Linked DNA regions of Caenorhabditis elegans. The protein of the gene in region 2 interacts with the protein of the main gene of each other region in a pairwise test. Each region holds a gene or a part of one and is shown on either strand. Other genes may lie near its edges. The genes, in order: Y39B6A.1, F41G3.10 and mlc-2.

Evidence for each region.
Region 1: the proteins of F41G3.10 (region 2) and Y39B6A.1 interact in a two-hybrid assay, tested with the Caenorhabditis elegans proteins (one large-scale study listed by BioGRID).
Region 3: the proteins of F41G3.10 (region 2) and mlc-2 interact in a two-hybrid assay, tested with the Caenorhabditis elegans proteins (one large-scale study listed by BioGRID).

What each region holds. Positions count from the first base shown.
Region 1 is NC_003283.11:19,199,069-19,207,971, reverse strand, and holds Y39B6A.1 (Histidine-rich glycoprotein-like), read left to right. Parts: upstream 1-4,364; 5' UTR 4,365-4,374; coding exon 4,375-4,426; intron 4,427-4,588; coding exon 4,589-4,741; intron 4,742-4,787; coding exon 4,788-6,790; 3' UTR 6,791-6,959; downstream 6,960-8,903. Other genes in the region: Nuclear hormone receptor family member nhr-79, read left to right, coding at 1-222.
Region 2 is NC_003280.10:6,746,746-6,754,014, forward strand, and holds F41G3.10 (ShKT domain-containing protein), read right to left. Parts: upstream 2,778-7,269; 5' UTR 2,771-2,777; coding exon 2,614-2,770; intron 2,568-2,613; coding exon 2,379-2,567; intron 2,329-2,378; coding exon 2,170-2,328; intron 2,126-2,169; coding exon 1,947-2,125; 3' UTR 1,875-1,946; downstream 1-1,874. Other genes in the region: F41G3.5 (non-specific serine/threonine protein kinase), read left to right, coding at 14-32, 80-192, 788-879, 929-1,135, 1,183-1,511, 1,560-1,674, 1,721-1,841; F41G3.20 (ShKT domain-containing protein), read right to left, coding at 3,121-3,287, 3,348-3,509, 3,864-4,049, 4,102-4,267; F41G3.19 (ShKT domain-containing protein), read right to left, coding at 4,977-5,158, 5,208-5,382; F41G3.21 (ShKT domain-containing protein), read right to left, coding at 5,706-5,899, 5,994-6,168; srx-95 (7TM GPCR serpentine receptor class x (Srx) domain-containing protein), read right to left, coding at 6,381-6,489, 6,542-6,663, 6,863-6,931, 7,002-7,162.
Region 3 is NC_003284.9:17,453,132-17,460,391, forward strand, and holds mlc-2 (Myosin regulatory light chain 2), read right to left. Parts: upstream 3,456-7,260; 5' UTR 3,437-3,455; coding exon 3,299-3,436; intron 3,252-3,298; coding exon 3,119-3,251; intron 3,065-3,118; coding exon 2,916-3,064; intron 2,863-2,915; coding exon 2,770-2,862; 3' UTR 2,661-2,769; downstream 1-2,660. Other genes in the region: C36E6.2 (Nbr1 FW domain-containing protein), read left to right, coding at 117-219, 272-421, 2,117-2,304; mlc-1 (Myosin regulatory light chain 1), read left to right, coding at 6,099-6,101, 6,361-6,495, 6,544-6,676, 6,731-6,879, 6,933-7,025.

The DNA.
Region 1 (8,903 bases), on a different chromosome or scaffold from region 2:
CAAATATGCTCCAGACAACGAGATGACATTTTCCGAACTCTTCTACTAATTTGTGATGACGAGGGTCATGACAGCGCACTTATCCGTGCATCGGAAATTGTACTGGCAGTGGGGATCGCAATGGCCGAGGTTCACGAAATGGTGACGTCATATATAGAGATTACGGTGTACGATGTGTTGGATGATCCGATTTTGAAGGATATGCTCAAGTTTCAGTATTGATTTGTTTTCTTTTTTGTTATTGTGATGTTACCGGTCTTGTAAATGTGAGTTAATAAATTTGTTCTCAAAATTCCATGTCGATGCACCATGATTGCGCCAATACACGAGAATTGCGCCAAGGCACCAAAATGATGTCAAGGAAGCACTTATACTTTCTAATCTAAATAGTAAAAATTTCAGAGCTCTAGGACCATTTTAGGCCAAGTTATGGAGCTTTGAAGTTAGCATGATAGCCGCGACGCGACCGCAACGCAGCCACACTTCAGTGAATCCTAACGTTCAGTTGACTAATTCAAATACTTGACAAAAATTTTAGAGCTCTGCGATAAGTTTGAGCCAAGTTATGACTGTTTAAAACTTTCGGCGTGCGCTGCGGTCGCGTCGCGGCTGCCCCATAAATTTCAAAACGTCATAACTTGGTTCAAAGTGGTCCGATTGGCTTGAAATTTTTGCAGTATACTATTATTATTACTCGCTACCTATTTCACATTAATTCAGACATTTTGCTAAAAAAAATTGGATTCCCGGAAAACCTGCTCCCCGTCGATCAAAGTTGCATCGTAGATCATGAAAGTTGTTTGTTTCCTTTCTGTTATCACAGACACGTAGCCGTCGATTGTCAAAACTCCTTATCACACCCTTCGTCCCGAATGGCAGAGGAGGAGATCATTGGAAAAAAAAATTATGGCAGCGTGGCGTGGAAGAGCAGGCCCATTAAAATATTGCGATCAACTTTTTATGGTAAATGTCAAAAGATCGGCAACTTGTTGAGTTGTTATTGTAAAGTTCTGTTTTAGATCTTTAAACTGCTGGAAATTTCGGGATTTTCTTGGTCTTGGCTTAAAAATTCGCGTTTTTTGGAAAAATATCCCATCTGTTGTGAAGATCTGCAGTTTTTTGGATTTTTCATTAGATTTTAAATGAAATTTCTATGATTCGTGTTCAGAATTACTCAAATTCATGCCAAACGTCAGATAACACTATAAAAACCAACAAGTCAGAAATTCGTCACTTTGCCGTGCAAATAGTGACTCATAATACCCTCAATTGCAATGAAAGTGTGGTTTTTCCCAACTTTTTCCACAATTTTTTACAACTTCTATGTGTTTTGGGTTAAAGTTTAGTTTCAGAGCTATTTTGGTTGTCAAATTGACTTTTTACTTCGAAAAAGTGGGAAAAACTAACATTTCTTGGTAGAAATCGACTTTTTGTCCACTTTTCAACGCGTACTATTGATTTTTGTAGAAATTCAGAAACCTCCGGCAAGTTTCCGGACTAAAATGGATTTTCCGGGACCCTTGTGCCAACTTCTCGAAGAATTTAAAGAAAAATTCGGTTTTTCTCGCAAAAAAAAACAGATTTATATATAGTTATACTAGAAATAAACTACTAGAAATCGGTTCTGGAGCCGATTTTTCAGAATTCCGTTCAATTTTTTGAGAAATTCAGAGCCTTCAGGCAATTTCTCTAAGAATCGTGAGAGTTTTCCGGTATAAATGGGATTTCCGAGGTTTTTGAAGAAATTCAGAGCTCCTCGGGGCAATTTCTCTGAAAATTCTCCGAAAATACCGGTTTACAATGGAATTTCCAAGGAATTTCTCGAAAACACACATTTTTCCCGTTTTTCAATGGAAAAAATCAACAAAACTACTAGAAATCGGTTCTGCAGCCGATTTTCGAGCATTCGTCTTGATGTTTTGTGAAATTCAGAGCCTTCCGGCAAATTTCCAGTGAGAATTGCCAAAAATCTCCTTTTTAAAATGATATTCGCCGTGTTTCTCTCGAAAGAGTACAACTTTTGGCATAGAAATTGATTTTCCCGTGCTTTTCTGAACTTTCTACTGATTTTAAAAAAAAATCCCAGGAATTTGGGCAATTTTCCGTGAGAATTGTCTGAAAATCCCGTTCTAAACCGGAATTTTCAGTCGAAATCGCGTATTCAGCTCGACCAATCGGTGTAATTTGTGCAAACACCGTCACGCGCAAATGCAGACATTTTTGCACGCGGAATTCTCATTAAAATGCAATTCTCATTAATTTGTCAGCGAAAAGCAATAAAACCTCAACCACCAGATGCAGTTTTTGATTTATTCACGTCTTTTTCTTCTCGTTGCCACGATTCGGGTAACCGTTCCCGGAAACTTTGTCACGTGGGGCCACTCTATATTCTCGGAGCAATCGTAAAACTACATCAAAATTTGATAAGGAAGAGGAAAAACGAGTGGCAGCGGCAGAATGACCGATAATCAATTATGGAGAGAGAAAAACCTGCTGATGGCACATTTTTCGAATAGTTTTGCGGTTTTTGGTTTCGGAACGTGGGGCGGAAATTGCTCCCGAATGCTGAAAATGTACAGGAACTGGAAAAAAGTCAAGGATCTTAAAAATTAGGCTGCCTGTATGAATTCCACGACAGTATGCTGTGAAATGCTTGAAATTTCAAGTCAAAGGCCCAAAAAATATCAAAGTTTCAGGAAAATTGAGGAAACATCGATTTTCGATGTTTTTCCGGAAAAACTATCCAGATTTGAAGCTTTTTCTCCTAATTTTCCCGGTTTTTTTTGAGAAAAAGTCAAAAACTCGAATTTTGAAGCCAGAAGATTGTCAGGAAACGGAAATTTCTGACAAAATTGCTCAAACTCCTGAATTTTCCACCGGAAACCTTCAAAAAGTGTAGTTGGTACTTCAAAAACCAGTTCAATTGCAGCAAATTAAGAACATTATAGAGATAAGGAGTATTAATTGTTGGTGCAAATAATGAATTATAACCACCATTGCAAGATTGAATGATCACATGATATTTGGAAAACTAGAAAACTAGTATTTCGAATTTCCAACAAAAAAAAGGTGTTAAGAGCACCATTAAAAGTTTGCCATCATCTTTGGAAATGCCACAGGCTCATAAAATAGCAGTTTTGGGTGTGGCTCTTCAGAAAACACAGTTTGGAGTTTTTAGGGGCAGTTGGGAAAGGTCGGCGGGTGCTGAAAGCTCCGAAAGCCCAATCAGAGCTGCTGAATTTGGTTAAAATCTGGAAAACCAGGAATCTAACACCTTGAAGCAACCCAGTGCTGCTCAGAGCTCTTGAGGGCAGCTAAAGCCAGTTGGGAGCTTCTAGAGGCCCATAGAAGCTTATCGGACCAATAGGGAGCTGCTAGAAGCCGTGCTCGTCGGAGCTGCTAAAATCTGCTAGGAGCCACTGGGAACTCACAAAGGACTTGAGGCCTATTAGAATAGTACAGGGCTCAGTAGAAGCAAATTAAATCCTTTAGAAAGCTTGCTTGAACTCCTAGGTCAGGCTGGAAGCTTCTAGAGACATTTATGAGCTGTTGGAGGCAATTGGAAGATTTCAGCAGTCGGGCTTTTCGGAATCACTAAGAGCTCGTGAAGGCACTTTAGATCTGCTAGACGATCACAAGGCTTACTAAAAGCAAATTGAAGCCTTCAGAAAGCTTGCTGGGCGCCTAGGCCAGGCTTTGAACTCCTAGGTCAGGCTGGTAGCTTCTAGAAGTACTTGGAAGGGTCTAGGACTAGTTGGAAGCCGCTAGAAATGTCTATGATCTAACTGAAACAATTAGAAAATTTTAGCAATCAGGCTGCTCGGAGCCACTTGAAGCTTATTGGAAGCAGTTAAACGTTCCAGAAAAGGTCAGTGTCCAAAGGTCAGGCTCTTTTTCGGTATGCTAGAACCTACCGAGACCCGAAAAATCACAAAAACCTCCAACTTCTCACACAAAACCCTTCAGTGAACTACTATAATACAATCAGCTGAAAATTTGAAAATTTTGAAAATTAATCAAATGCTGATGCTCAACAGCTGTCAGACTTCATCACCTCTCCTATTACCTCCCCAAATATTACATCACTCTGACAATCATCGTCCCAAATTTTCACGTTTCTCCTTCTCCGGGTGTCTTATCTCGATCTCTCACTTCTCCAAACATCATCAAAACTTTTAATTGCCTCCCGTGTCAAAATGGGCGGAGTCAAACTTAAGGGAGGCGGAGCCTAAAAAAAGCTTATAAAATGGGGCGGAGGAGGACGGTGATTATCAAAATTTTCGGGGCTTTTTCTCGATTTTACTTCTAAAATCCCTCTTAACTTTGAATTTCGAGTAAAATTCTGAAAATTCTGAAAATTCCAGAACCTAAACAATGACGGTGCACCATCATCATCACACCCACCACGTGTCGCTTCACAAGATCAGTGAGTTTTCGGCGCTTCCTGCCAAAGATCATTCTTATCAGTGAAATTACCGAAAAAATTAGAAAATTTCGGAAATGTTTGCCAACACAACACAACTGACATGTTATCAGTTGTAGTTTCTTAGTATCACCTACGGTAGTCAAAGATCATGATAATTTTCAGAGAAGCTCTTCTCGAAGCACTCCTCGCACGGGCATAAGCTCACTCGGGATGAAGCTCGCTCGGCGCTCCACGATATTGAGCACCTGGCCAAGGAGCTCCACTTCCAGAAGGTCTTTGATCATCATGCTCATGATGGACACATCTCATTGAAAGGTTGGTCCGGAGCTTTGGAATCTCTTAATAAACAGGAATATTTCAGGATTCCTGAGCTTCATCTCCCCACACCACGGTCACCATACCCATCATGCTCACGGAGCCCATCCAGGCCACCACGAGGTCCACCACCACCATCACCATGTGAAGGCTCAGGACTCGAGCAGCTCCAGCTCCTCCTCCAGCAGCAGCTCGAGCTCCAGCTCCTCCAGCTCATCCTCATCCTCTTCCTCTTCGTCTGAATCCGAGGACGAGAAGCACCACCACAAGAAGCACGCCAAGAAGCATCTTAAGAAGCATCACAAGAAGGCCGAGTCTAGCTCTTCCAGCTCATCCAGCTCCTCGAGCTCCAGCTCAAGCTCCTCTTCCAGCTCCTCATCTGAGTCCGAAGACGAGAAGCATCACCATAAGAAGCATGCCAAGAAGCATCTGAAGAAGCATCACAAGAAGGCTGAGAGCTCTTCCAGCAGCTCATCGTCAAGCTCCTCTAGCTCCAGCTCCTCCAGCTCGTCTTCTTCGTCGTCGGAGTCCGAAGACGAGAAGCATCACCACAAGAAGCATGCCGTGAAGAAGCATCACAAGAAGGCCGAGTCTAGCTCGTCCAGCAGCTCGAGCTCGAGCTCCTCCAGCTCCTCTTCCTCATCCGAGGATGAGAAGCACCATCACAAGAAGCACGCCGCCAAGAAGCACGTGAAGCATCACAAGAAGGCCGCTTCCAGCTCCAGCTCTTCCAGCAGCTCCTCTTCCTCTTCCAGTTCTTCTTCATCGTCTTCTTCCTCGGAATCTGAAGACGAGAAGAAGAAGAAGAAGGTGCATCACAAGAAGAGCCACGGAAAGAAGCATCACAAGAAGGCCGCGAGCTCTTCTAGCTCTAGCTCTTCCTCCAGCTCCAGCTCCAGCTCCTCATCTTCCTCAGAATCTGAGGACGAGAAGAAGCACGCTCCAGCCCATCATGAGCACCACGAGCACAAGGATGGAGCTCATCACGAGCACAAGGAAGGAGAGCACCATGAGCACGCAGCTCATCACGACGAGCACGGAGTCCACCACAGACATCATGGAGAGCACCATGGGACCCACCACTCCCCAGCTCATCACGGGGAACATGGGACCCACCACGGACACCATGGAGAGCACCACCATGCTCCAGCTCATCATGGACACCACGAATCCCATGGACACGGACATCACTCCCCAGCCCACCACGGACATCATGGGGAGCACCACCATGCTCCAGCTCATCACGGACATCATGGAGAGCACCACCATGCTCCAGCACACCATGGACACCACGGGGAACATGGGACCCACCACGGACACCACGGATCCCATCACTCCCCAGCTCACCACGGACATCATGGGGAGCACCACCATGCTCCAGCACACCACGGACACCACGGGGAACATGGGACCCACCACGGACATCATGGAGAGCACCACCATGCTCCAGCACACCATGGACACCACGGGGAACATGGGACCCACCACGGACACCACGGATCCCATCACTCCCCAGCTCACCACGGACATCATGGGGAGCACCACCATGCTCCAGCTCATCACGGACACCACGGACACCACGGATCTCACGGAGTTCATCACGGACACCACGAATCCCATGGGCATGGTCACCACGCACCGGCTCACCACGGACACCATGGGGAGCATGGAGTTCATCACGGACATCATGGAGCAGGCTACGGAGCTCACCATGGACACCACGGAGCCCACCACCACCACGCCCCACACCATGAGCATCACGAACACCATGGAGATCATCACCACGGATCTCACGGAGTCCATCACGGACACCACGGAACCCACCACTCCCTAGCACATCACGGACATCACGGAGGTCATGGGACCCACCACGGAGCCCATCACTCCCCGGCTCACCACGGACACCACGGAGCCCACCACGAGCACGGAGCCCATCACGGAGCCCACCACGGACACCATGACGACAAGGAGAACCACCACCATCATGGACACCATTCGAAGCATTCAAAGAAGCAGCACACGAAGAAGTCACATAAGAAGAGCCACTAGACGGGCGGTCGATGAGCTTCTGCTCGCCACAATTGATGCGTCACTGCATTACATGTACTTTTTGGATAAATCCTGAACAGCCTTTTTTTTTTGTTTGTATCGATTTTTCTAGCGAATTTGTAATTTTTTGTACCAATTTTTCCGTGTCGAATAAATTAATTTCATTGTGTTTAGTGGAGAAAAACGAAGAAAAAAAACATGAAAAATTGCGATAGCAGCGCCCAAATCTTGTAGTTTGTAGTTTTAGCAGCGCCCAAACTCACTTTTTCTTCATTTTTCCAATTTTTTGCCGAAAAAACAGTCGAAAACTAGGTTTTTTATACGAAAAATCGCATAGCAGCGCCCAAAACTTGTAGTTTGTAGTCTTAGCAGCGCCCAAAATTGAATTAGCAGCGCCCAAAACTTGTAGTTTGTAGTTTAGCAGCGCCCAAAATTGAATTAGCAGCGCCCAAAATTGAATTAGCAGCGCCCAAAATCTTGTAGTTTGTAGTGTTAGCAGCGCCCAAAATCTTGTAGTTTGTAGTTTAGCAGCGCCCAAAATCTTGTAGTTTGTAGTCTAAGCAGCGCCCAAAACTTGTAGTTTGTAGTCTTAGCAGCGCCCAAAACTCGTAGTTTGTAGTCTAAGCAGCGCCCAAAATTGAATTAGCAGCGCCCAAAATCTTGTAGTTTGTAGTGTTAGCAGCGCCCAAAATCTTGTAGTTTGTAGTCTAAGCAGCGCCCAAAATTGAATAAGCAGCGCCTAAATCTTGTAGTTTGTAGTCTAAGCAGCGCCCAAAACTCGTAGTTTGTAGTCTAAGCAGCGCCCAAAATCATGTAGTTTGTAGTCTTAGCAGCGCCCAAAATCTTGTAGTTTGTAGTCTAAGCAGCGCCCAAAATTGAATAAGCAGCGCCTAAATCTTGTAGTTTGTAGTCTAAGCAGCGCCCAAAACTCGTAGTTTGTAGTCTTAGCAGCGCCCAAAATTGAATTAGCAGCGCCCAAAACTTGTAGTTTGTAGTCTTAGCAGCGCCCAAAATTGAATTAGCAGCGCCCAAAATCATGTAGTTTGTAGTCTTAGCAGCGCCCAAAATTGAATTAGCAGCGCCCAAAACTTGTAGTTTGTAGTCTTAGCAGCGCCCAAAATCTTGTAGTTTGTAGTCTTAGCAGCGCCCAAAATTGAATTAGCAGCGCCCAAAACTTGTAGTTTGTAGTCTTAGCAGCGCCCACAATCTTGTAGTTTGTAGTCTTAGCAGCGCCCACAATCTTGTAGTTTGTAGTCTTAGCAACGCCCAAAATTGAATTAGCAGCGCCCAAAACTTGTAGTTTGTAGTCTTAGCAGCGCCCAAAATCATGTAGTTTGTAGTCTTAGCAGCGCCCAAAATTGAATTAGCAGCGCCCAAAACTTGTAGTTTGTAGTCTTAGCAGCGCCCAAAATCTTGTAGTTTGTAGTCTTAGCAGCGCCCAAAATTGAATTAGCAGCGCCCAAAACTTGTAGTTTGTAGTCTTAGCAGCGCCCACAATCTTGTAGTTTGTAGTCTTAGCAGCGCCCACAATCTTGTAGTTTGTAGTCTTAGCAACGCCCAAAATTGAATTAGCAGCGCCCAAAACTTGTAGTTTGTAGTCTTAGCAGCGCCCAAAATCTTGTAGTTTGTAGTCTTAGCAGCGCCCAAAATTGAATTAGCAGCGCCCAAAACTTGTAGTTTGTAGTCTTAGCAGCGCCCAAAACTTGTAGTTTGTAGTCTTAGCAGCGCCCACAATCTTGTAGTTTGTAGTCTTAGCAGCGCCCAAAATCTTGTAGTTTGTAGTCTTAGCAGCGCATTATCCAGTTTTGGGTGGTTTTTCTAGAAAATTCTCGCCGACTACCAATCACACCTCCGGGGTTCGAGTCCCCGCCGTGGTCGAATTTTTTTGTTGTGTTTTTTTCCAAACAAGTTAATCATGCAAATTTCATATTTGTCTGAAATCTTTCGTGTAATAACTATAATCATAATAATAAGAACTGGGATGTCGGGGAGAGAAAAAGTGTGTGTGTGTGTGTGGGAAATTCCCCCTGGGAATGGGAAAAAGGGGTCCCGCGTGGAAGAGATTTTCGTTTCGTGGCGAGACCCAAAATGTTTGGGGGAGGTAGGGGTGGGG
Region 2 (7,269 bases):
TCACCGTTGAAACATGGGAACGGTTTGTAAAGGTAACATCAAACTTTTCCAATTGTCAATGCCACGCACGAATCTTTAGAAAATAGTGAGAATCAAGTCTCTGAAGGCGTTGAATTGGATAAAGGATATCGGCTTCTAGACTATAAAGTCGTACGGTTTATCGCCAAAGGAGCATTTGGAGCTGTCTATCAGGTATTACATAATATTTTTTCGGGGTTTTATTATTATTATTATTATACGCGCATTAGAAAATTTATATATTGTTTGCAAAGTGCTTGTGCACTTTTTCTGTCTTCTCACCCTCAATCTATTTTTTGACGTCACCATGGTGCTCACAACGACACGGAGCAACAAGCAGTGCTCTCCTTGATGTGCAGTTCTAAACATATATTATATTTATCTATTCATGATAACTAGAAGACTTCAAATTTCCAGATACAGAAGTGTTCGTGAAAATAAATATGTGTTTTTTTTATGATCACTAGCTCTTCTGTAGCTGAAAAAACTTGAAAATAATATTTTAATCGAATTAGTTGGATGATTCAGCTAATTTTTTAAAGTTTCTGCTTGAATGTTACGTTATGATTTTTTGTGAAATTGGAATGAACATTTGCATGATTTAATATAAATATAGGGCACACATTGAACAAATTAAATTTATATCACTTTTGAATTGGATGTTGAAATTCCTTGAAGTTTAATTTAAGAATGATACATCTTTTTCATTCAATAAGTTAGCAAAAATTGAAAAGCTTCCCACAGAAATTAATTGTAGTTTCCATTTCAGGTCGATCACATAAATACTCTACCATTTGCTCTGAAACTTGAAAGCCGAAGCTCTGAAACTAGAAATTTGAAAATGGAAGCTGTTGTTCTCAGGTATCAGGTTCTATGAATATTTCTCAATACAACCAAAAGCTAATTTCAGAAGCCTTCTCCCAATTCGTTCACCTTATTTCTGTCGTGTCTTCTTTTGCGGGAAAGCGGAAAAATTCAATTTCCTTATTATGACTCTTGTCGGAAAGAATTTGAGCGAGCTTCGTGCCAACTGCCCGAATCGAAAGTTTTCACGTCGAACTGGTCTTCAAATTGGAATTCAAATGATCAATGCCATCCAACAACTTCATTCCATTGGGTACAAAACATTTATTATCATTAATGTGTTTTAACTCAATAATTCAGATTCATTCATCGTGACATAAAACCTGCCAACTTTTGCATAAATCTCGACAATCCACATCAACTTGTGATGGTCGATTTTGGAATGTGCCGGAAATATTTGAATGATGGAGGAACTCAACTGAGACATCCAAGATGGTCTGTTCATGGTTTTAGGGGAACTGTTCGATATGCACCACTGGCTACTCATTATGGAAGAGATTCTTGTCGTAAAGAGGATTTGGAAACAATCTTTTATGTTTTGGTTGAACTTTTAGTTGGAACATTGCCTTGGATGACTATGGAAGAACATATTCATGTTGAGCATTCTAAGCAAGTTGCAAGAACTACGGGTGAGAAAACAGCTTTACAAACTGATAAAGTATACAATATTTTCTCAGGATTGCGTGAATTCCTCTCTGGATGCCCAAAACAACTTGTTCATATTCTCCTTTACATTGACAATCTTCGCTTCTACGATGCACCTGACTATGCACTTATTCGTGGATTGCTCAGGTAAAATCAAAATTAAAATAGTGCTGTAAAATAAAGACGCCTTCAGTTTTGCCCTGGAAAATTGTCAACACAATGGATCATTCGAGTGGGAAGAAGAAATGAAAATGGAAAGAAAAAAGGACGAAGATATGAGATCGAAAGACGAATCTGAAATTGAGGATGGATGACGCCGGATCTAGAAATTAATAAAAGTTCTTGAATTCTTCAAAATTATTTATTGAGACTACGTGTTTTAGCTTTTGAGCTTGACTACGTCGTTCGCAGTAATTTTTTTAGCCAGAAGTACAATATCCACAGGTTCTTGGACATTGTTGTCTCATCAAAGTGGCATATGCTGAGTTGTTGCAATAAGAACGCATAGCTGTACAATCGCTTGTTCCTGTATTTGGGTTGACCAAGTCAGCACAAGTTGTACTAGTACGAGTAGTAGTGACTACTCCTGATCCAGAGCCTAAACATTTAGATATCATATTGAAAATGTTGATTTTAGCCTACAGTATCCGCAGGTTCTTGGACATTGTTGTCTCATTAAGGTGATATAAGCCGAATTATTACAATAAGAAGCCATTCTTGTGCAGTCACTGACTCCTGTGGTTGGGTTTGTCAAATCGACACAAGTAGTTGAGGTTCTGGTTGTGGTAGCAGTTCCAGTACCTGAAATTGGAATTTTGTAGTGAGTGAGAGAAGAGGGGATATCTGCTTACAATATCCACAAGTTCTTGGGCACTGTTGTCTCATTAGGGTGAGATAGAAGCTGTTGAAACAGTATGATGCCATTCTAGTACAGTCGCTGGTTCCTGTGCTTGGATTGGTCAAATCAACACATGTTCCTGAAGTCACTGAAGTTCTGGTGGTTGTGACAGCAGCTGCTGCTGTAGATGTTGTGGTGATTGCTGAAATAATTTGGTTCATGAAACCGGCGATATCTGAAATTCTCACTGAAAACGTCTCCATCAGGGCAACAACCACTTCCAGCAATGAGTGTGGTTCCTGGTGGGCAAGCTCCATTAAGATCCGGCATTGGTACGGAGTTGCATCCTAGTTGTTGAACCGAAATCCCGATAGAAGCAGCAACAATCAGAAGTTGGAACAGCATTATTACTCTGGAAATGTTACATATAATAGAAAGAGGGAACAATAGCAAAAATAGAGTACTCTGGAAATGTGTCTAACTGTGAACGAGTGGGCTTTTAAACCATTTTCGAGCAAATATCACACATAGCTATGACTGGTATTTGAATAGTTTTCGAATTAAAGCAACTGTATCAATAAATCGCATGATTTCGTGGGAGTTTCATTCGCGAAATGGGGCAAAGTTTAGTGGACTTAGGATTTTGGAAATTGAAAAAAAAAACATAATGTTTGAACGATAAAATGAATAATATTTTATTAGAGTTGCAAACTATTACAACATGTGACATCGACATTGTTAAAAAACATGTAAGATTAGGTGCAATATCCACAGGTCTTTGGGCATTGGGTTTTCATCAAGGACAAATAAACAGAATTGGTACAATAGGAAGCCATGCTCGCACAGTTGCTAACTCCGATTGAAGAATTTACGAGGTCAGCGCAGGTAGACGAAGATGAAGACGAAGAGGACGAAGATGTACCTTTAAAATGTACATCATATCATATTAACGATAAATATTAACTTGTCGAAAACTACTTACAATATCCACAGGTTTTTGGACATTGTTGCTTCATAAGTGTCAAATATGCAGAGTTGGTACAGTATGAAGCCATACCTGGGCAGTCACTGACCCCTGTCGAAGCATTTGTTAAATCGATACAAGTGGATGAAGATGACGTAGTGGTGGCAGACGATGATGTGCCTGAAAAAATATATAACTTCGCAAAGAGCTTCAGTTAGCCTTTTTCTTTGCTTTTGAAATTGATGTTGTTAAACTTAAATTGCTAAACTTATAAGTACAAGTGGCAGCTAAATGAAAATATACGGCAAACTTACGAGCCGACTTTTCGAGAACCCTTACCTTAGAGTTAGGCAAAAGTATTTTTGCTGAAAGTGTTCAAACATGACTTCTTCCAGCCAAACAGCCACATATAAATTTCTAATTGTGGTGAAAAGTTTACCGAAAAATAAAAGGCGCCTCTCCAAAACTCGATGTCCAATTCGATTTATGTTTCAGCATAAAATGTTTCTTAAGAAAGTAAATTTCAAAACTTACAGTATCCGCAAGTTTTCGGGCATTGTTGCTTCATGAGTGTCAAGTATGCAGAGTTGGCACAATAAGAAGCCATTCCAGGGCAATCACTAACTCCCGTACTAGGATTAGTCAAATCAACACAAGTTGTAGCAGTAGTAGCAGTTGTTGTTGCAACCGTGGTTGTTGCCGCGGCAGTTGTAGTGATTGCTGAAAATTATGGAACTACGATTATTTGAAAACTAATTTTCAATAAAGTTACTGTATAAATCAGCATCTGGACAACATCCACTATCGGTGATATATGTGAAGTCATCTGGACAAGCCCCATTCAAGTCTGGCTGAGGATCCGAGGTGCATCCGTAACTCTGTTGAGACGAGAAGCCGATAAATGAAGAGAAACAAACGAATAAAATGAGAGAAAACATTTAAAATAATTGCTGTTAATCCCACCCTGGATAGATCCTTTTTAAAGGAATATCTGACAAATATTGAAAACTTTTTATTCTCCAACGATTATTTATTTGAGCAGAAGCATTGGGGACAGGAAGTGTTAGGAAACAAAGTTCCGCATCATTTTAAAGCAGAAATCCACTGTTTCAATAATCAAGAACAAATCTAATTAAAGTCATATACCTGGTACTATTTATAGATCATAGATCTTAATTTGAGATTTTATAATAATTGCACTTCATGATTACGGCCAAAATTGTGCCAGGGTTTGCCGGTTCCTGTAGTTTATTCATACAAACATTATCCAGCTTCAACTGGCATTTCTTATGTTTTCCTCAGATTCTTTAGAGTCCCTATTATTTTTTTTAACTAACTTCAAGGAAGTGATGAATTCATTTGGACAAATCAGAGAGACAAATCCGAGAGACAGAGGCAATCAGAGAGATCACGTCATATGAAAACTTATCACAGATCAGTTACATGTTCGGGTTGTTGATTTTTCAAACATTCTTTCAAAATGAAAATAGTATTTACCTAAACGTGTCACACCGAAAACCTTTTTTTATATAGCAATGAAAAACAAATTGATATGTGCATTATTTATTATCAGTCCCCATTATTAACTTCCAGTATTAAATTTATTACAATTTCAACGAGCCACATGAAATTCTATGAATCATGAATTCAACCGGAAGTGCAGTATCCACAAGTCTTTGGACATTGTTGCTTCATGAGTGTCAAGTATATGGAATTGGTACAGTAAGAAGCCATTCTAGTACAATCACTGACTCCAGTGCTAGCATTTGTCAAATCAACACAAGTTGATGATGATGAAGTTGTGGAAGATGTGGACGATGAGGATGTACCTTTAAAGTTGATGACATTGCAAATCTTCCAAAAGTATAATAAACTTACAGTATCCACAGGTTTTGGGGCACTGAGTTTTCATAAGAGTCAAGTATACCGAATTCGTACAGTAAGAAGCCATCTTTGGACAATCACTGACACCATTCGATGGATTAGTCAAATCAACACAACCCCATGATACGGTGCACAGAGCCGCCATAATAAAAAGTACAGTTGTTTGCATCTTGAACTCGGATGTTCGGGAAGTATACTTAGGCCTCTGACAGAACTGAATAAAGTTGGTATCTTTTTCTTCAAATCCTTTCATATATAATGAGGGCCCAACAGACACTATTGTTTGAACAGAAGCATCATTCCAAAGACTTCAAACTTCCGCAACATTTGTACATGTTCATTCAGCGTAGCGTATACTACAGTTACGCTTCAGCATGTTCTCATAAGACAATAAAAATTTGCAAAACTTTATTTTTTCTTTAAATTACCGACCTTGAAAGTATAAATAGATACATAATACATTAACTTGGAAAATAAAACACAAATTACAAATTATCCAGATGTGCAGAATCCACATGTTCTTGGACATTGCGTTCTCATGAGTGGTATGTAAACCGAGTTTGTACAGTAAGACGCCAGTCTAGTACAGTCACTGGTTCCAGTTCTTGGATTAGTGAGATCTACACAAGTTGAAGACGAGGAAGTTGTTGAAGAAACAGATGTAGCTGTGGAAGATGAGGAGTTGCCTGATATAAGATCACATTAAAGGTGCAATTGTATTTTGTTTGTCACAAGATTGAGGATTCTGTTGCCTGCTCCTACTTGGTCAAAACAACTTACAATATCCACAAGTTCTTGGGCATTGTTGTCTCATCAGAGACAGGTACACCGAATTTGTGCAGTAAGAAGCGAGTCTAGCACAGTCACTGGTTCCAGTTCTTGGATTCGTTAAATCGACGCATCCCCAAGAATAAGAGCACAAAACAGCAAGGACAACTAAAGTTATTTGTTGCATTTTTCAAGTAGTTAGTAAGCTCGAAACAATCTGATTTGTTACAATTGCAAAATTTCATTTTTATATCGCACCTTCAATTGCCTTCACTATTTGCACAGCAAGCCCTTTTTGTCTCCAATGGTTGTGAGTCAAACTTCTAGATTTTTTATTCAAATAAAACAAGTAGTTAACTGTTTGCAAATTGGACAAAGAGTATAAAGGATCATACATTATTATCGGAAATCACTAGCTGAAATTGAAATGACTGAGCTCTTCTTCTGAAGATTTTTCGAAGCAATACAAGCTGGCTGAATGTCATTATTGCACAGAAGCATGATTAATCTGAAAAGAAAACATATATTTTATTAGAACACAGATTTTGTTACTGAATTACCCATCGAACAGAGCCAAGAATGCCATAGAAGGAAGCGCAACAAGAATGTCTCCGAATGATCCAGAATGAAGAGATGAGATCAAGAAGACATCTATGATATAGAGCAATGATTGAGCCATACACTGGAAATTATTAAGTTTTATTCTGTCTGTAAATCTTGTTGATTTTTTTTGTGTTTATATTTTTTAGCTCCTGATTTATTTCAATGTTGCTCGAATTTTTCCAGTATATAGTTGATTTTATCTATAAAGTTGATTACTGTTTTGCCACGTCATTGTTTTAGTTCATTGCCCTTATTCTTCCCACTTTCAATTTGCTCACCTGAATAAACATTTTTGCGTTTCTTTGTTTTCTACGTGGTGCATTACGGCATGAGAAGCTTACAGATTTCTGAAAAATAAACATGGCTTTTTTGCAGTTTCTCGTATTTCGTTGTTTCAAAAATGTAATTAGCACTCACCGCTCCGCCACAACAAATAATGAGGAAACTGATGACGTTGAGCATATTGAAAATCATCATTAGAACAAAGGCACAATAGAGCTGAAGTTGGTAGTTTGCGATGTGGCAATCGTCGAAGTATATGAAAGTGAGGTGTTCAGATGAGAAGTAGCAAGTGCATTCTGAAATTTTCAAATGAGAAAATGTCTGGAAAATTTGAATCTTTTCGTTGGGGAATTCGTATTATTTCTGTTGAAGCCCTTAGTTCAATTTATATAACACTATATAA
Region 3 (7,260 bases), on a different chromosome or scaffold from region 2:
TTGCCGGCTATGCTCACTCGAATTCGAATTAATGTTAGGGAGAATTACGATTCCACAAAATCAATTTTTCAAATTATCCTGCTGTGTATCATAAAACCCAAAAACTTCAATTTCAGTCTTTCACTTACCGACCGAATTCTACATTTTTCTGCGGGTGGCGAGTTGTCAATGATGGAAGGTTCAGATGGCCTGATGGCACCCGATTGGCGTTTGTCGATGGTAACACTCGTATTAATTAATGAATAAAAACTATATTATTAATTAATTCCAGGTGACCCGATCGATTACGAAGTATGGAAGGATACCGTTCTTGATCCGGATCAGTCGGAAAACATTGAGATTCGAATCAGTTGCCCTGCTGAAATGGGAGACTTCAAAGCCAGATTTCAATTTGTTACGCCACAAAATTTTTTCTTCGGTGGTGAGTATTAATGTCGTTAAACAGAAAAATTAATCATATGAGACTGATGCCAAATTTCCCAAAAAAAAAACTGTCAAAAGGTAGAACTACTGTAAAGGTTGAAAACAAGTTCATAAGGAAAATGTTAATATGGTTGAGAGACAATCTCAATTAGTTACTTGGTAAATAACATCAGTGTACTCGAGAACATTTTTAATAGAAAATTCAAATTTATATAACCGTTAGTGAACACATAAAACCGAGAAACCGTACTCCCTCTGTTAGTTTTGTAAATATTAATAAAGTCGTCATTGTTTGGGTAGATATAATTTTAAAGTGCTCACAGTCCATTTTTTTTTCTCCAATTTCAAAGGAAGGCATTTATATAGACCATAACGACCAAATTAATAGACCATAGATAGATTATTATAAATATATGATATCAAAATATGTTAACGCATAAATGCGCCTCCATTTAAAATTTTAGATATGAAACAAAAACTAATGCACTGTAAAAAAATAGCCGATGAACTATTGCAAAAGTATATATTCTTTGTAGTTTTTTTTTGTATTAAATTAGGTTTTTGTCAAAGATTGATCGTTTTTCTAAAATTATCAAACATTCTAAAAATTGTCTTGCAATATCTATTATTGTTGTAACCCAACAATGATACCCAACACTACTGACCAAGTGAAAGTTAGTCTTGCATGCAAGACTATTAGAGGAAATACGTTAATTGATACCGGAATATCGGAATGTTGCTTGAATAAATAGATAATTTTTAAATTGCCAAGTTGCTCAAAGACCGGAAAGAGCCAGTGCCGATTTTGTCAAAACATTCAAAAACAAACGAAGAAAACTTATTTTTTTTCTTTTTTGAACATTTATAAACAATGCCGGATTTTCAGCAACTTTCTAAAATTTTGAACAGTTTGCAGAGATATGAGATTCTGAAAATGAGTAATTTCAAACATTTTCTCTACTGGCTCTTTTCTTCCTTTCTCGTTAATTTTTGGAGTAGAAGTATTTAATAATTAGAGCTTTAAAGGTGGACTACACCCTGTGGGGAAATCGCTTCAAAACATGCCTATGGTACCACAATGGCCGAATATCATGATAAAAAAATTTAAAAAAATTTCCCTGATTTTATATGATTTTTTGAAAATTGAAAAAATGTCAGTTTTCCCCTAATTTCTATTTGAATTTCCGCCAATTGAACTCGTTCGTTGGAGCACGATTGCATTATTTTCATTATCTTTTTTTATTAATTTTCATTATTTCACTGATTTTCTTCATTTTTGGGGTTTTTTAATCGGAAAATGAAAGAAATATACAAGAAAAATGCAAATAGTTCATGAAAAAATCACTGAAATTGCCTAAAACTGTAAAATATACTAATTTCAGGCTCGTTGTCGTCGTATCACATAATTTCAGAGTTTTAGGCAATTTCAGTGATTTTTTCATGAACTATTTGCATTTTTCTTGTATATTTCTTTTATTTTCCGATTAAAAAACCACAAAAATGAAGAAAATCAGTGAAATATAGAAAATAAATTTAAAATAAACCTTAAAACGTAAATATAAACTCAGGTTCAAAACGGCTTGTACAAATCAGCAAAGATAATTTTTTTGAAACTAATCGAATTTCTTCAAAGACTTAAATATTATTCAGCTACTTCAGAAACCTCATAATTTTAATGTTTCCACATTTTCAGAATCAATCTGGGTTATCATTCGAGTGCGGCCACTTACTGAAGCAGAAGCCGCGATGGAAGTCTCCGCGCAACCAATGGATCCATTCCATCGGCAACTCGCTGTGATGTCATTTGTGGAAGGACCAAGTAGCAGTGGGACACATCCATCTCCAGTGCCTGATCCACCTCAAGAGGACATGATGGAATGATTCGAGACCTTGTAAATTCTATTGTTATTATTGTGATGATCATCAATTATTTACCGTGGGATATCTTAATCAAATGTAAATTTCAATGCAGTTATTGAATCAAAAGTAATCTTCTAACTATTTTACTTTTAAAATTCAACGTAGCTCGGGTTATCAGACATCTGGTAACTCTGTAATGAACCTTATTGAAACATATTTTCTCATTAAGATTTGTTCCAATTGTGATAGACACCCAGTACAGATTTGTTGCCTTTTCCACCTCTCGCATTTCTTTTTCAAACTATTCATCACTTTTTTCCCCAATACCTATTAGCCTTTTTATAAAATAACATTAGAAGTCATTGGTATCAACTAATTTTATCACCACCATTTATTGCACTAATCCATTGAAAGATTATAATTGGAGAAATAAATGAGAAAGTATTATTTGAAAGAATGTAAGATTTGTGTGCAATTGCCGGATGTTTAGGCGCTGGCGAGCTCGTCTTGGGCTCCGGTGGTGATGAGGTGAGCGAATGCCTTGTAGTCAACCTCTCCTCCCTCGATTGGTGGCTTTCCCTGAAAGAAGAGGAATTGGTAAGTTTCAATGATTTCAGAAAGAATGAATTTACCTTGTACATAGCCTTGACCTCATCCTCGTCTAATGGCTCTCCTCTCTTGTTTTGAAGGATCTTGATAAGGTCGTCCTCCTTGATCTTTCCGCAGTCCTTCTTATCGAACATAGCAAAAGCTCCAACAATGGTGGCCTCTGGGTCAGTTCCTGAAATTATTGCAATAATGAATTGAATTCCATTAGAAAATCTGAAAAGCCTACCTGTCAATCTCTCCCCGAAAAGGGTGAGGAAGACGGTGAAGTTGATTGGTCCGGATGCCTCCTTGATCATGGCGTCGATCTGGCTGTCTGGGGCGATTTGTCCCATGGATGCGTAGAGATCCTTGAGGTCAGACTAAAAATTGTTCATTAGTATCATTTTAAAACTTAAAAAAAGCTAACCTTGTCGATGATTCCGTCCTTGTTCTGATCCATGATTCCGAAGGCCTCCTTGAACTCCTGGATGGTCTTCTGGTCGAATTGGGCGGCCTCGGATCCCGAGCGCTTCTTTGAGGACTTCTTCTTGGCGGCCTTGGACATGTTGGAAAAGGTTCTCTACCTGAAACTCAGTTATTTGTTTACAGGTAGCACACAAAATTGTCGAAACAATGATAGAAGTAAATTGCTTGGGAAACGAACAAATTAAAATTAAAAATGCACCCATGAAAAGTATGAAGAAGAAGCCTTTTCCAAGTCCCGATCTTGTCGAGAGCATTGAGATAATAATGGTTGGTTGGTAGGCGTATGGGAAGGAGGAGTAGCTGGATGGGAGGAATGTGATACGAAAAGAGACCGAGAGGAGGTGCTCTCTCCACGGCGGGCAAAGTTAGTAGGCAATTGGTGGAGGGTGGCAGATTCCCGGGATGCCGTTTGAGATAGAGTGTAACACAGCGGGCAGCGATCAGTTTTGCCAGCAGAGATAATGTGTCCCAAGCAGAAGCTCGACACAAAGAGCGCTAGAAAGAGCAGTGCCCGTGATCCGTGCGCCGTGTCTGTGCTCTCTTTGGGGATCTCAGACTTTCTGATCACCCTCACACGGCCGGGAAGATATACGCAATATCTGTTTGTGAAGAAACGACAAACGCAAATATCTACAGAGTTGCGGCAACGCATGGGGGAGAGAATTTTTGGAAAAGCCAACTGTTTGGCTTCGAATATTTTCTCAAGTACATCTCTCTCAAAAGCAGGTAAAAGTTAAGGTGGTAGGCTTTTTGCTGCGCGCAGAAAAGCGAGGGTGGAGAGCAGGGAATCTAGGGATTTTTGGGAGATGAATGATCAGAGTTGCACTGAGGGTGGCCCATTAACACAAAATAGGAATTAGAAAGAATATAACTTTGAATGTTGAATGAAAACATGTAACATCGAATATTGTTTCTAATGGCTGAAGACAAATTAACAAGTTCGTAAAAAGAGAACAATTGAAAGGAATGTTTATAAGTGGTTTTTATTGTTTTTCTAGCAAGAACTTTTCCGAAGATAAAAAATTGAATGTTCAGATTGTTTTGTATCTCATGAGCCCAGTAGAAATCTTTACTACTTCATAAGTATGGAAATCAAAATAAAACATTACAAAACATAAATTTTTCGAAAAATTGAAATTATGTTCAACAAAAATGCCAAGCGACTGGAAAATTGTATCCAATGTTTCTTTGCCAACTTTAAAATTGTATATTTTGTTTCTAGTAGTTGTGCTTGCTGATTATCAAAAAATTGAAGAAGACATTGTTCAACAATTGATTTTTAGAGGCGACAGCTAATCTGAACTTGTGATTCTAACGTGTTGTAACAAATTTTCAAAGCGCGTTTTCCAGACCATCATCGTACTTTTCAAAACATTAATGGTTTACTGTTTGAAGTTTTCAGAGGAAACATTTGATTTACACAAATTGTTGTAATTGGAATTAGAACTATTGTTTATGCTTCAATTTCGTTAAAGCAATTTTTTCACAATTTTGTTTGATGTATATTGGAAAAAAAAATTCAATTATTCATTTTACAAACGGAAATTGTGGAGTGATAATAATAATAACTTTTACGAACATTTGTAATACGCTCATAATAAACATTAAATGATTTTTTCAAATTTACAAACAAACCAAAAAATTAACTCTTTTCGAAGTAAAACGTTTCAAAAATAAGTTAACAAACAGGAAGCAAAATTAAAAGCGTTTCTGCCAGCTGACGCATTATCTTAAAAGCTGTTTTCAGATAAGAGCACTGGTAGACAGAACACTCAATAGAAAATCAGATGAAAAAGTTTGAAAGTTGAGGAATCAAAAAAGTTATCCTTGTTAATTTAGGATATGAGTAAGAACCTCTTGTCACACTAATTCTGATGGAAGGTTTTTTTTTCTGAATCGTTTCTGAATTGTCTCCAATGAGAGTATAGTTCGAAACACAATTTTTGTCTGTTATTCAATGACATCAAAATTATTGATTTCAAAAATAGCTGCAAATCCTAAAATCAAAAATCACTGCGTATGTCAAAACTTTGAAGATTGTGTGAAAATCAATATTTGCTCTGTTTCATCCTATCTTAAAATACGCCCGATTAATTATTTCATTTTAACAAAACTTGAAAAAAAACTATACAAATAGATTTCACAAGTAGTTGAAACAATTAGTAGGAAAATTATAATTTATACCAGAAAAATATATGTCAAAAAAAATTATCGTTAGTGAAATATTATAAACAGATATTACTGGAACCATCTGATAAATTCAGTATGTCCCATTTAGTCATGTTATGAAAATTAAAATTTATAATCAAGTTCCAAAACAAAAGAGTTTCAGATTTTCAAGTTTTCAATTATCCTGTTTGTTGGAAATGTTGAATTTAAACCTTCCTTTCCAACTCAAAACAAATTCTGATTATGTTGTGCCCTGCTCAGATTTAAAGCTCGGATGATCTATTCCCTTTCCCTTATTGCATCCCCTCATTTATCCGATCGAGCAACTTTTTCGATGGCGGGTAAGAGGCATCGCGACGCAAGCAAGGCGAGAGTTTTGCCCATCTTCTTGGAAACCTCCGACGGGTGCCTGATGTTAGCACCACGGGGGCGGTGCGCCTCTTGTGTAAAGTTGTTGAGATTTGCTCAAACAGCCCTCCCCTCGACGCGGGGCCCAACGAGTGTAAAAGGCAGACAAAAGCGACGGATAATCTTCAGTTAGTCTCAGTTCACTACTCAGTACAGTCCACAAAATGGTGAGTTGGATTTTTTAATAAGTTATTTGAAAAGCATGAGTTTCTGTATAGGAATAGGAGTGCGTTCATATATATTTTGATTTAACCTGTCTATATTGTATTTAAAAAATTATTTATTTTGAATCAGAGGTTCTATAATCAGTTTCATCTTTAAAAAATTTCTGGTAAATTAAGAACGTAACATTTAGATTTAGGCTTTGTTTAAAAATCAAGCAATTAAATCGACTATAAAATTGTCAATATGTTCTCAATTTTCCAGTCCAAGGCCGCCAAGAAGAAGTCCTCAAAGAAGCGCTCGGGATCCGAGGCCGCCCAATTCGACCAGAAGACCATCCAGGAATTCAAGGAGGCTTTCGGAATCATGGATCAGAACAAGGACGGAATAATTGACAAGGTTAGAATTTTTCTTATTTTTTTAATGGTTCTAATCAACAATTTTTAGTCTGACCTCAAGGATCTCTACGCTTCCATGGGACAAATCGCCCCAGACAGCCAGATCGACGCCATGATTAAAGAGGCTTCCGGACCAATCAACTTCACCGTCTTCCTCACCCTTTTCGGAGAGAGATTGACAGGTAGGCTAATTAAATTTGATAAGTTAATGGTGATTTGAATCTATTTAATTTCAGGAACTGACCCAGAGGCCACCATTATTGGAGCCTTTGCCATGTTCGACAAGAAGGACTGCGGAAAGATCAAGGAGGACGACCTTATCAAGATCCTTCAAAACAAGAGAGGAGAGCCATTGGACGAGGATGAGGTCAAGGCTATGTACAAGGTAAATTCATTCTTTCTGAAATTTTTGAAACTTCCCAACTCCTCATTTTTTAGGGAAAGCCACCAATCGAGGGAGGAGAGGTCGACTACAAGGCCTTCGCTCACCTCATTACCACCGGAGCCCAAGACGAGCTCGCCAGCGCCTGAACATCTCCAGCCCACAAGCAATTGCAACCACTTTGGGAGTGGCGTCAACGTTATTCTAGAATCCATTACGGTGTCTCATTTGAAGACCTTTCCACGTGCTCCTATGATACATCGCCGTGTATTCAAGACTCATTGTTGTCATTCCGTGTGGCGCAGCGTTCAGACGGCGCTCTAACCCATTCCGCGCGCATTTTTCTATTTTCGCCGCTCTTTACCCTTAGTTTTATAGCCGAGA